Linked DNA regions of Rattus norvegicus. The main gene of each other region encodes a partner of the protein of the gene in region 2 in a complex. Links are inferred from orthologs where the notes say so. Each region holds a gene or a part of one and is shown on either strand. Other genes may lie near its edges.

What was found.
Region 1: the proteins of Cic (region 2) and Ywhaq are in contact, whole or in part, in a crystal structure (PDB 6KZG), measured with the Homo sapiens proteins. The link is inferred for Rattus norvegicus from reciprocal best matches to the Homo sapiens genes CIC and YWHAQ. Residues at the interface, in NP_001291744.1 of Homo sapiens: Arg1207, Ser1208, Met1209, Ser1210, Glu1211, Thr1212, Gly1213, Thr1214; in NP_006817.1 of Homo sapiens: Lys49, Arg56, Lys120, Arg127, Tyr128, Gly169, Leu172, Asn173, Val176, Tyr179, Glu180, Leu216, Ile217, Leu220, Asp223, Asn224, Leu227, Trp228.

The regions. Positions count from the first base shown.
Region 1 is NC_086024.1:46,667,369-46,671,177, forward strand, and holds part of Ywhaq (14-3-3 protein theta), read right to left. Parts: intron 2,044-3,809; coding exon 1,880-2,043; intron 1,174-1,879; coding exon 1,078-1,173; intron 1-1,077. UniProt on the Homo sapiens protein: Adapter protein implicated in the regulation of a large spectrum of both general and specialized signaling pathways. Binds to a large number of partners, usually by recognition of a phosphoserine or phosphothreonine motif.
Region 2 is NC_086019.1:89,980,202-89,984,728, reverse strand, and holds the start of Cic (protein capicua homolog 1), read right to left. Parts: upstream 2,987-4,527; 5' UTR 2,899-2,986; exon of another isoform or gene 2,111-2,898; intron 1-2,110. UniProt on the Homo sapiens protein: Transcriptional repressor which plays a role in development of the central nervous system (CNS). In concert with ATXN1 and ATXN1L, involved in brain development.

The DNA.
Region 1 (3,809 bases), on a different chromosome or scaffold from region 2:
ACCAGGCTGACCTCAATCAAACTCAGAGATCTTCTTGCCTCTGTCTCCTAAGTGCTGAAATGAAAGGTGTGCACCACCACCGCCTAGCTCCTGACTTCCCTCTACGGTGGAGTATAAATCAATTCTGAAAAAACTGTAATAAATTCTTCTCTTCCCAATGCTTTTCAGTCATCATGTTTCCACAGTGCAATAGACTACAAACAAGAAAACCCTCTATCAAGTGTCCAAAAACAACTTAATTTTTTAAACCTTTGTAGGCACAGGCATGCTGCCTGAATACTGTGTATGTACAGTGTCCATGGGCCAGAAAGAGGGTGTTGGATCCCTTAGGACTGGAGTTTGTCCATTGTGAACCACTATGTGGGCACTGAGACTCAAACCTAGGTCCTCTGAGAGAGCAATCGATGTTCCTAACCACTCAATCATCTCTAGCCCTCCCACGTAAACTTTTGGTAAAATAAGGAGATTCTAACACATACAGAATCCCTAATTTGTTATTCCTAATTTACTCAAAGAAAGGAAATATTAGAATTATACAAGCTCTCTACATTAACTGTTATTGTGTTCAACTAAGTCAAATAGCAATGATAACACTGTGTTCCTATAACTTTCATAGAAAGGTTTGATAAAATACCTCTTCACCATGAAGACACTTCTCCAAATTTTGTAAGAGACTATGGAGCTCTAGTTATACAGTATTAGTGCACACCTTTAACCCCAGCACTTGGGAGGCAGAGCAAGCTGGTCTCTGTGAGTTTGAAGCCAGCCTGGTCCACAGAGTGAGTTCCTGGACAGCCAAGGCTACACAAGAGAAAACCTTGGGAGTTGGGGATTTAGCTCAGCGGTAGAGTGCTTGCCTAGCGAGCACAAGGCCCTGGGTTCGGTCCCCAGCTCCGAAAAAAAGAAAAAAGGGAAAAAAAAAAAAAAAAAAAAAAAAAAGAGAGAGAGAGAAAACCTTGTCCCCAAAATAACAACAAAGAGGCTATAGCTTTTCTATACCTGCTTCCAAAAGGCATGAACATCAAAATGAAGTTACTGTTGTTTCTGAAAACAGACATACAACACGGAATAGCTTACTGTTAAGTTGTCTCTAAGCAACTGCATGATGAGGGTGCTGTCTTTGTAGGAGTCTTCATTCAGTGTATCAAGCTCGGCGATGGCTTCATCAAAAGCCTGGTAAAGTTAAACAGCGAGTAATATAGTCAATTCAGGAACAGAAGCTAGCCAGTCTGCAAATACAACCCTGTGTACCACCACATTATGGTAACACTAGGGAAGTAGTCCCTTGGAGATCTAGTTTAAGATTTTGTGAAGGTTCTTCCTTCAGGTTCCTCCCATTTGGGAGAGTTCTGGCCTCACCCTTCCTTACTAAAGCAATACTTGCTCTGCTTCTTAAAAAAAAATAAAATAAAATAAAATAAAGAGAATTACTATATCGTGAAACTCACTCTAAGTATTTACATAAACACTTGTTGGTTCTTTCACAAGATACACAGTATATTAACAACACTTACATATTCTTACAAGAGCTAATGTAGTTACACTGCCCTTCTAAGACACCAGGGGAGGGTGATACAGGCTTCTACTGCCCAAACTTGGCAGGCACTCCTTTCCAGCATTTGATGTTTCCTGCCTAAAGTTATTTTTACTTCTTTTACTACTTTGCCCTCTAGGCTTTTCAGTCAGACATTACTATTTAGAATCACAGTGAGAGAACTATTTAGGGGCTGGGAGGTAGGTATGGGGAAGAGACACTAATGAAGAAACTGTGTCTAACACACATAAAAATGGCCTCCCTTGAGCACCCAAATACCTAAAAGTTAATGTACTTAGTTTCTTAAACACCCTTATAAAGAGGCATGAACTCAACAGATCTCACCGTTTTAGCCAGTGTGCAGGCAAGCTCGGGATTATTAAGGATCTCATAGTAAAATACAGAAAAGTTAAGAGCCAGCCCCAGGCGGATCGGATGTGTAGGTTGCATCTCTTTCTTGCTTATATCAAATGCCTCTTGGTAGGCTCCTTGGGAATTTTCTATCGTTTCTGTGAGTTGAAAGGGGGAAAAAAGTTAAGAACAACAGCAAAAGTATCTATCCAATATATAGCATGCTAACAACTTTAATATATAGGTATCTGGCTATTCTGAATCACCATAGCTCCACTGTATTTAAATAAAACTATGGAGACCACAAAGACAGTGGATAAAGAAAGGTGCTTGCCACCAAGCTTGACAACACAAGTTCAATCTTTGGAACCCACATGGTAAAAGATATCCTCTCATCTCCATGTATGTGCTATGGCATTTAGGCACACACATACTTTAAAAAAAAAAAAAAAGTCAGAGAAAGGGGCTGAGAAGCTGTGGCAGGACAAGATGGCAGAAAGGAAGTTGTTCCACATTTTTCTACACTGGAGATTACCCCCAAGTATGATGTAGTCCTCCTGCCTCTGCTGCACAGGTGCATAGCACCACGTCCAAATAGAGGTGTGTGTCAGAACTCAGGCGTTCTGGCACAGACGGGCGAATCCACTGATGGACACACAGCATAACAACTAAGGGGAGTGGAGGCAACTGGCCTAATTACGACAGGAGCCTACCTAGCAGCTGACTGAGGCAGATGCACATACCCACAGACAAACATTGGATGGAGGTTGGGGATCCCTATGGAAGAGTTAGGGGAAGGATTGAAGGCTCTCAAGGAGATTGCAACCCCACAGGAAGACTAACAGTGTCAGCTAACCTGAACTTCTGAGAACTCCCAGAGACTGAGCCACCAACCAAAGAGCATACATGGGCTGGTCCAATTCCCTGGCACATATGTAGCAGAGGGCTACCTTGTCTGGCCTCAGGGGGAAAGGATGCACCTAATCCTGCAGAGACTTGATGCACTAGGGTGGGAGATATGGGGCAGAGGTGCCCTCTCGGAGGTAAAGGAGTGGACGGAAGAGGGAGGAACTCTGTGAAGGGGTTGGAGGGCATCATTTGGGAGATAGATAGATAGATAGATAGATAGATAGATAGATAGATAGATAGATAGATAGAGAGAGAGAGAGAGATAGACGTGTGTGTGTGTGTGTGTGTGTGTGTGTGTGTGTGTGTGTGTGTGTGTGTGTGTGTGTGCACAATCTGTATTTAGGTGCCTGTGAGGCCTTAGGTCAGGAATGGGATCCTCTGAAGCTGGAGTTATAGACAGACAGTTGTGAATCACCTAATGTAGGTCTTGGGAACCAAATTCTGGTCCTCTTCAAGAACATCAATTTAGAATCAAACATTTGGTTGAGGGATGGCTCAGTGGGAAAAGGTGATCACTACCACTCCTGACAGAGTGAGTCCCTGGGGGACCACATGTTGGAAGGAGAGAATGGGCAGGTTGTTCTCTGATTTGCACACACACACACACACACACACACACACACACACATACACGCACGCACGCACACGCACGCGCACACGCACGCGCACATACACACACACATATAATAAATAAATAAATGTATAAAAGAAAAAACAAAGTAAATGTCCTATATGAAGCCCTGCTTTCAAGCTCTAAGCACACATACCCTATACCATCCTATTTCTATGTTCTACATATAATTTTATAAGAAATATAGAAGTGTTACGTAAGGAATTCTAGAGCTATAATTATAACAAACTCCCAAAGCATGAAAGATTAAGGCTGCTTGTAATATCAAAGTATAATTAGAGTTCACCCATGAGCCCAATTTTGTTGAAGATATATAAATTGGACCTTTCTCTTTGAGGCAGGGTTTCACTATGTAGTCGGGGTTGTTCTGAAAAACAATCCTCC
Region 2 (4,527 bases):
TTCAGACGCAGACTGGCACCTGGGTCTCCTGAGCATATACAACCTTGGCTCCCTGCTCCTTCTGCAGGGGACATGCAGTATGCACACACAGGTTCCAGGTGCCCCCAAGGAGTGTGAGGATCCCTGAGGGTTCACACTGCGGAGCAATCACACTGTCCCAAGCCCTCAGCTAAGTTGCCTAATTTCCCCGCCCAACAGCCCTAAGAGGTGAGTGCTACTATCAAGCAAGGTGCAGAGAGACAAAAGTGCTTTGATTACAATCATTCACCTACAAAGCAAGGGGTGGGGGGACCTGAACCCAGGTGCTCTAGGGCTCCAGAATCTGAGCTCCTAACCACTGCTGTGTGCTGCCCATCATGTGATCTACACATCATGCTTGCTTGCTCTCACATCACATAGTGCACATACACAAATGCACACAGAGACACACATAAGCACCAAGCCACAGAAAGGGAGGTGACATGGCTGAGATATAAGCCTCTCTCCTCCCTCTACTTTCCCTCCACCCCTCCAGGCAGTCATGCATGGCCAGATACTGTGGGAAGGAGTAGGCAGCTGAGAATCCCTAGGGATGGTTGCCCACTCTGCTCAGTATCCCAGGTCTGCCAGGTACAACCATCTTCTCAGGTCCTGGCAGGGAGCAGGCAGGGGCACGTTTGTGGCAAGAGCTCATACCAGCACAGCCACAGGACTGTACATGAGCACAGGCACGCGCACAAATGCAGCACACGTCATCACACAGTGGGACACAGAACTGCACACCCCAGGGTTTCTCTGTCCCACTACACGGGAGCCTTCCCCTTCCCCCAACAGCACCCAGCGTGATGCCTGCAAGCCCAGCCCCCACTTGTGGCCTGCATGTCTCCTCACCCAGACTGGGCAGGCTGGGCAGGGTGTCTGAAATGGTCAGCACCCTCAGATACCCAAATATGCTCTCCAGCTCCAGGTGGGGACAAGAAGGACGAGGGCACAGACAGCCGGACAAGCCCAGCAAGGCAACCTCCCCCACTTCCTGAACAGTCACTCTGCCCGCCCCCTTTCGCACTGCCCTGAGAAAAGAAGGGGAAAAAAAAAAAGGCAAAACAAAACCCCTAAAAACTTTACTCCAAAGTGACTTGGAAAACTTGAGAAGCCAAACATGAGTTGTCCTAGATTACCCCAAAGACAATCAGAGACCCCTCTGACAGTTTTCAGGCTGACTGGGATCCCAGATCTCATGCTCTCTAACTTGAGGCCTTCTTCTGTGGGACAATCTGGGGTTCTCATAGGCAGATTCTGAAGGGCCTGGGAGTAGCACCCTAGTGCTGTGGAGCTAAGCAGACTCCACTGCCATCTCTCCACTGACTTGCGAGGACACCATTCTGGAGCCTGAGATCTGGTACAAACAATGCCCAAACATAAACCTTTAGACCCCACCCAGGGCCGACAAGTACACCAACCAACATCTCTTAACCCTGTTACCTGGATTGGTCTCTTTACCCCAGAGCCAAACCTCTCTTTCTTGGGGCCTACTCGCTTCCTGTGCACCATAGCTAACTACTACCCAGGGTCCTGTGGGCCCTCACCTCCCTTTCAGAACGTTAAACTTCTGAAGCTGAGGCCACCCCCATGTCCTTTAGGGTCTCATACCCTCTACTTCCATCCACCCTCCTGACACCATCTTCTCTGCCACTCTCTCCCATCTTGTCACCACCTCTACCTTATTTCCTCAGATACTAGGCCCCCTCCAGTTACCCCTGCTGGTCACCCCATTTATTTCTATCACCTATTCCTCCCAGTCACTCTTCTGTCAGCCATCTCTAGACCTCCAAATCTGACACCTCTGCCATCGCCTCTCTTCATCACCCCCTCCAACTCCGTCCCCTTCCTCTCCCTGTCACCCTGATCTGGTCCTGTTACCCCTCCATTCCTGTTATCAGCACTCTCCCCCAGTCACTTCTTTTCTGTCACTCCCCACTTCCTACCACTTCCTCCACTCTGTCACCCCTTCCCACACCATTCCACCCACCTCTTTTGCCCTGTACCCCTTCCCGTCCCTGCCACCTGTCCCCTCTCGGCCTCCAGCTCCCCTCCACCCCCACGCAGTGTCAGCCCTGGCCCCGCCCTTCACCTCGGGCTCCGCAGGGTTTCGGGGCGGGGGGCCGTGGCCCCGGCTCAGTCCGGTCCGGTCCCTCCCCGCCCCCCCTCCGGCTCTCCCTCTCGATTCTCCCTTTTTTTTTTACTCCAACACACAAAATGGTGAATGGACCTGCAACAGCTGGAGCAACCAGCCAATAAACGGCCACAACCCCGGTGACCGGCGCCAACCTAGGCCAATAGATATTCTCAGTCTAGTCGGCTCCGCCTATTGTCCGCAAGCGACACTCGCTACCACCAATTGCGCTCTTCCGGCAGCGCCAGGAGGCGGGGCCAAATTTCAAGACCGGCCTCCCTCCGGGACCGACACCAACCTAAGCCTACGACTGCCTGATCTGCCTAGAACTCTACCTTACAACAAGTAATGGACATCTGCTTTAACCAATTAACAGACTATTTATGTGCCGAATGACAGTTACAGTACCCAATCACCATGCATGTTAGGCAAGAAACCAGCCCCTGTGTGGGACAGTAACCAATGAAATGAAGGGAGGCGGGGCTAAAGGATATGACCTCCAATGAACAAGCTCGGGAGGCGTGGCCCTAGGGTTTGTTGACCAGCTGATCGCAATGCCTGCTGGGAATAGTAGTCGTCTTCTGTATCCGGCCCGTAGTCGAAAGCATAAGGCAGACTACAACTCCCATGTGACGGAGTGCATGGAGCTCCAAAGAACCCGGGCGAAGAGAAAAAGTCGGAAAGGACAGCTCCTCCTGAGTCTCGCTGGACACTGGGAACATCTTAGACCCAGGGCCCCGACTCACCCGGATTCCTGGCTCTGGCGTCGCCAGTGGCTCCTCGCAGTGGCGGCTGAAGCGGCACGAGGGGGAGGTGCAAAGAGCAGCCAACCGACACCCGCGAGCTCCGCAGCCAATCAGCAACGGCTGGGGCGGCGCAATGACCTCACCGGTTCTACTCTCTTACCCCTCCCCCACGTGGTTGTTGGTGCTGGTAAACCAGAGTAGAGAAGTTTGGGGTAGGGGGATGGGAGGAGAACTAGTGATGTCACCTTTCCTCTGCGTGATTGGCTGTTGGGTGGCCGGACTACGGCCAATCAACAGTCTCAAAAAGTCTGGCGCGGCCCCGCGGAAAGCCCTGTTGCCACCAGAAGGAGAGAGGACCTGAGGTTGTAGGGTAATGCGCTCTGCAGTACAGGCAACGCGCGTGGCCTGAGGCCGTCAGGCCGTGGTGTCAACTCCAAGACTTTTTGATTTTAGGACGGCGCACTTTTCTGATCACACCCTCCCATCTCCAAACTTTCTTTTGGGGCATAAGATGGGAAAATGCTGCACTTCCTGGGGTTTCACACTTTATTCCATAGGTGAAAAGCCCAGTGGTTGTTCACACCTGAGGAAAGATGTGTAAAAACCAGGGGTGGGTGTCACACCAGAGGTGAGGAGAAGAGCTTGTGCCACATACCCTCTGAGCCTAGATGGTTGTTGCCCCAATGCCAAATTTACACCAGGTGTGACTATCCCTAGTTTCACTCTACCCATCAGGTTTCCCCTGGATCAAAGGGTAATGGAGAATGATATACACCGGCTCTAAGGAAGGTTTCTCTTGCATATAATGGATACTCAAGACTAATAGTGAGAAAACACATCCGGCCTATTGTAGCGCATCTTACTTTCAGTGCTGGCTAGTTTTTAAGTTGAGGCAAATACCAAGTCCTGAGACAGTGTGAACCCCGATTGCCTCTAAAAGATTGCCCTGTAGGCAGTCAGTCAGTGCAGTGCTATCTTAGTGATTGAGGTCCAGCCCACTGTGGGTGGGTGCCACCTCTGAGAAGGTGGTCCTGGGATGTATAAGGAAGCAGGCTAAACCATGGAGAGCAAACATTATGTAAGGCTCCTCCAGGGCTTCTGCCTGAGTTCCTGCCCTGACTTCCCTTCAGATGGGCTTAATGAAATGTAAGGTGAAATAAATGCTTTCCTCATGGACTTGCTTTTGGTTTGCTTGACTACAGCAGTAAGACACTGTCCTAATGTCTGCACTATCCGTAAAAGAATGTTCTGTGGTATATGGCTGCTTCACACAGAGCAAGCGAAAAGAACCGGTTATCTATGGCACTGACCGTGAGGCAATTTCTCAATATCTATAGGAAGTCCCCACTGTCCACGGGGACTCAAGAATTTTTGGCAGGTCCTTACAAGTTCACAGAGAGCTTAGTCTATTACCCATGCTATTGTAGAACTCTGCCCTCACTATGTAGTCCAGGCTGGTCACAAACTGGAGTTAATCTTCCTACCTCAGTCTCCCAAGTGCTAGAAATAAAACCATTAAAGCCACGCCTGGGCTGGTTAAAAGCGCTGGACCTAATCTAAAGGACCTAGATCTGATGCCACGCATCCACGTGCCGGCTCATAAGCTTGGGGCAACTCCAGTTCTAGGGA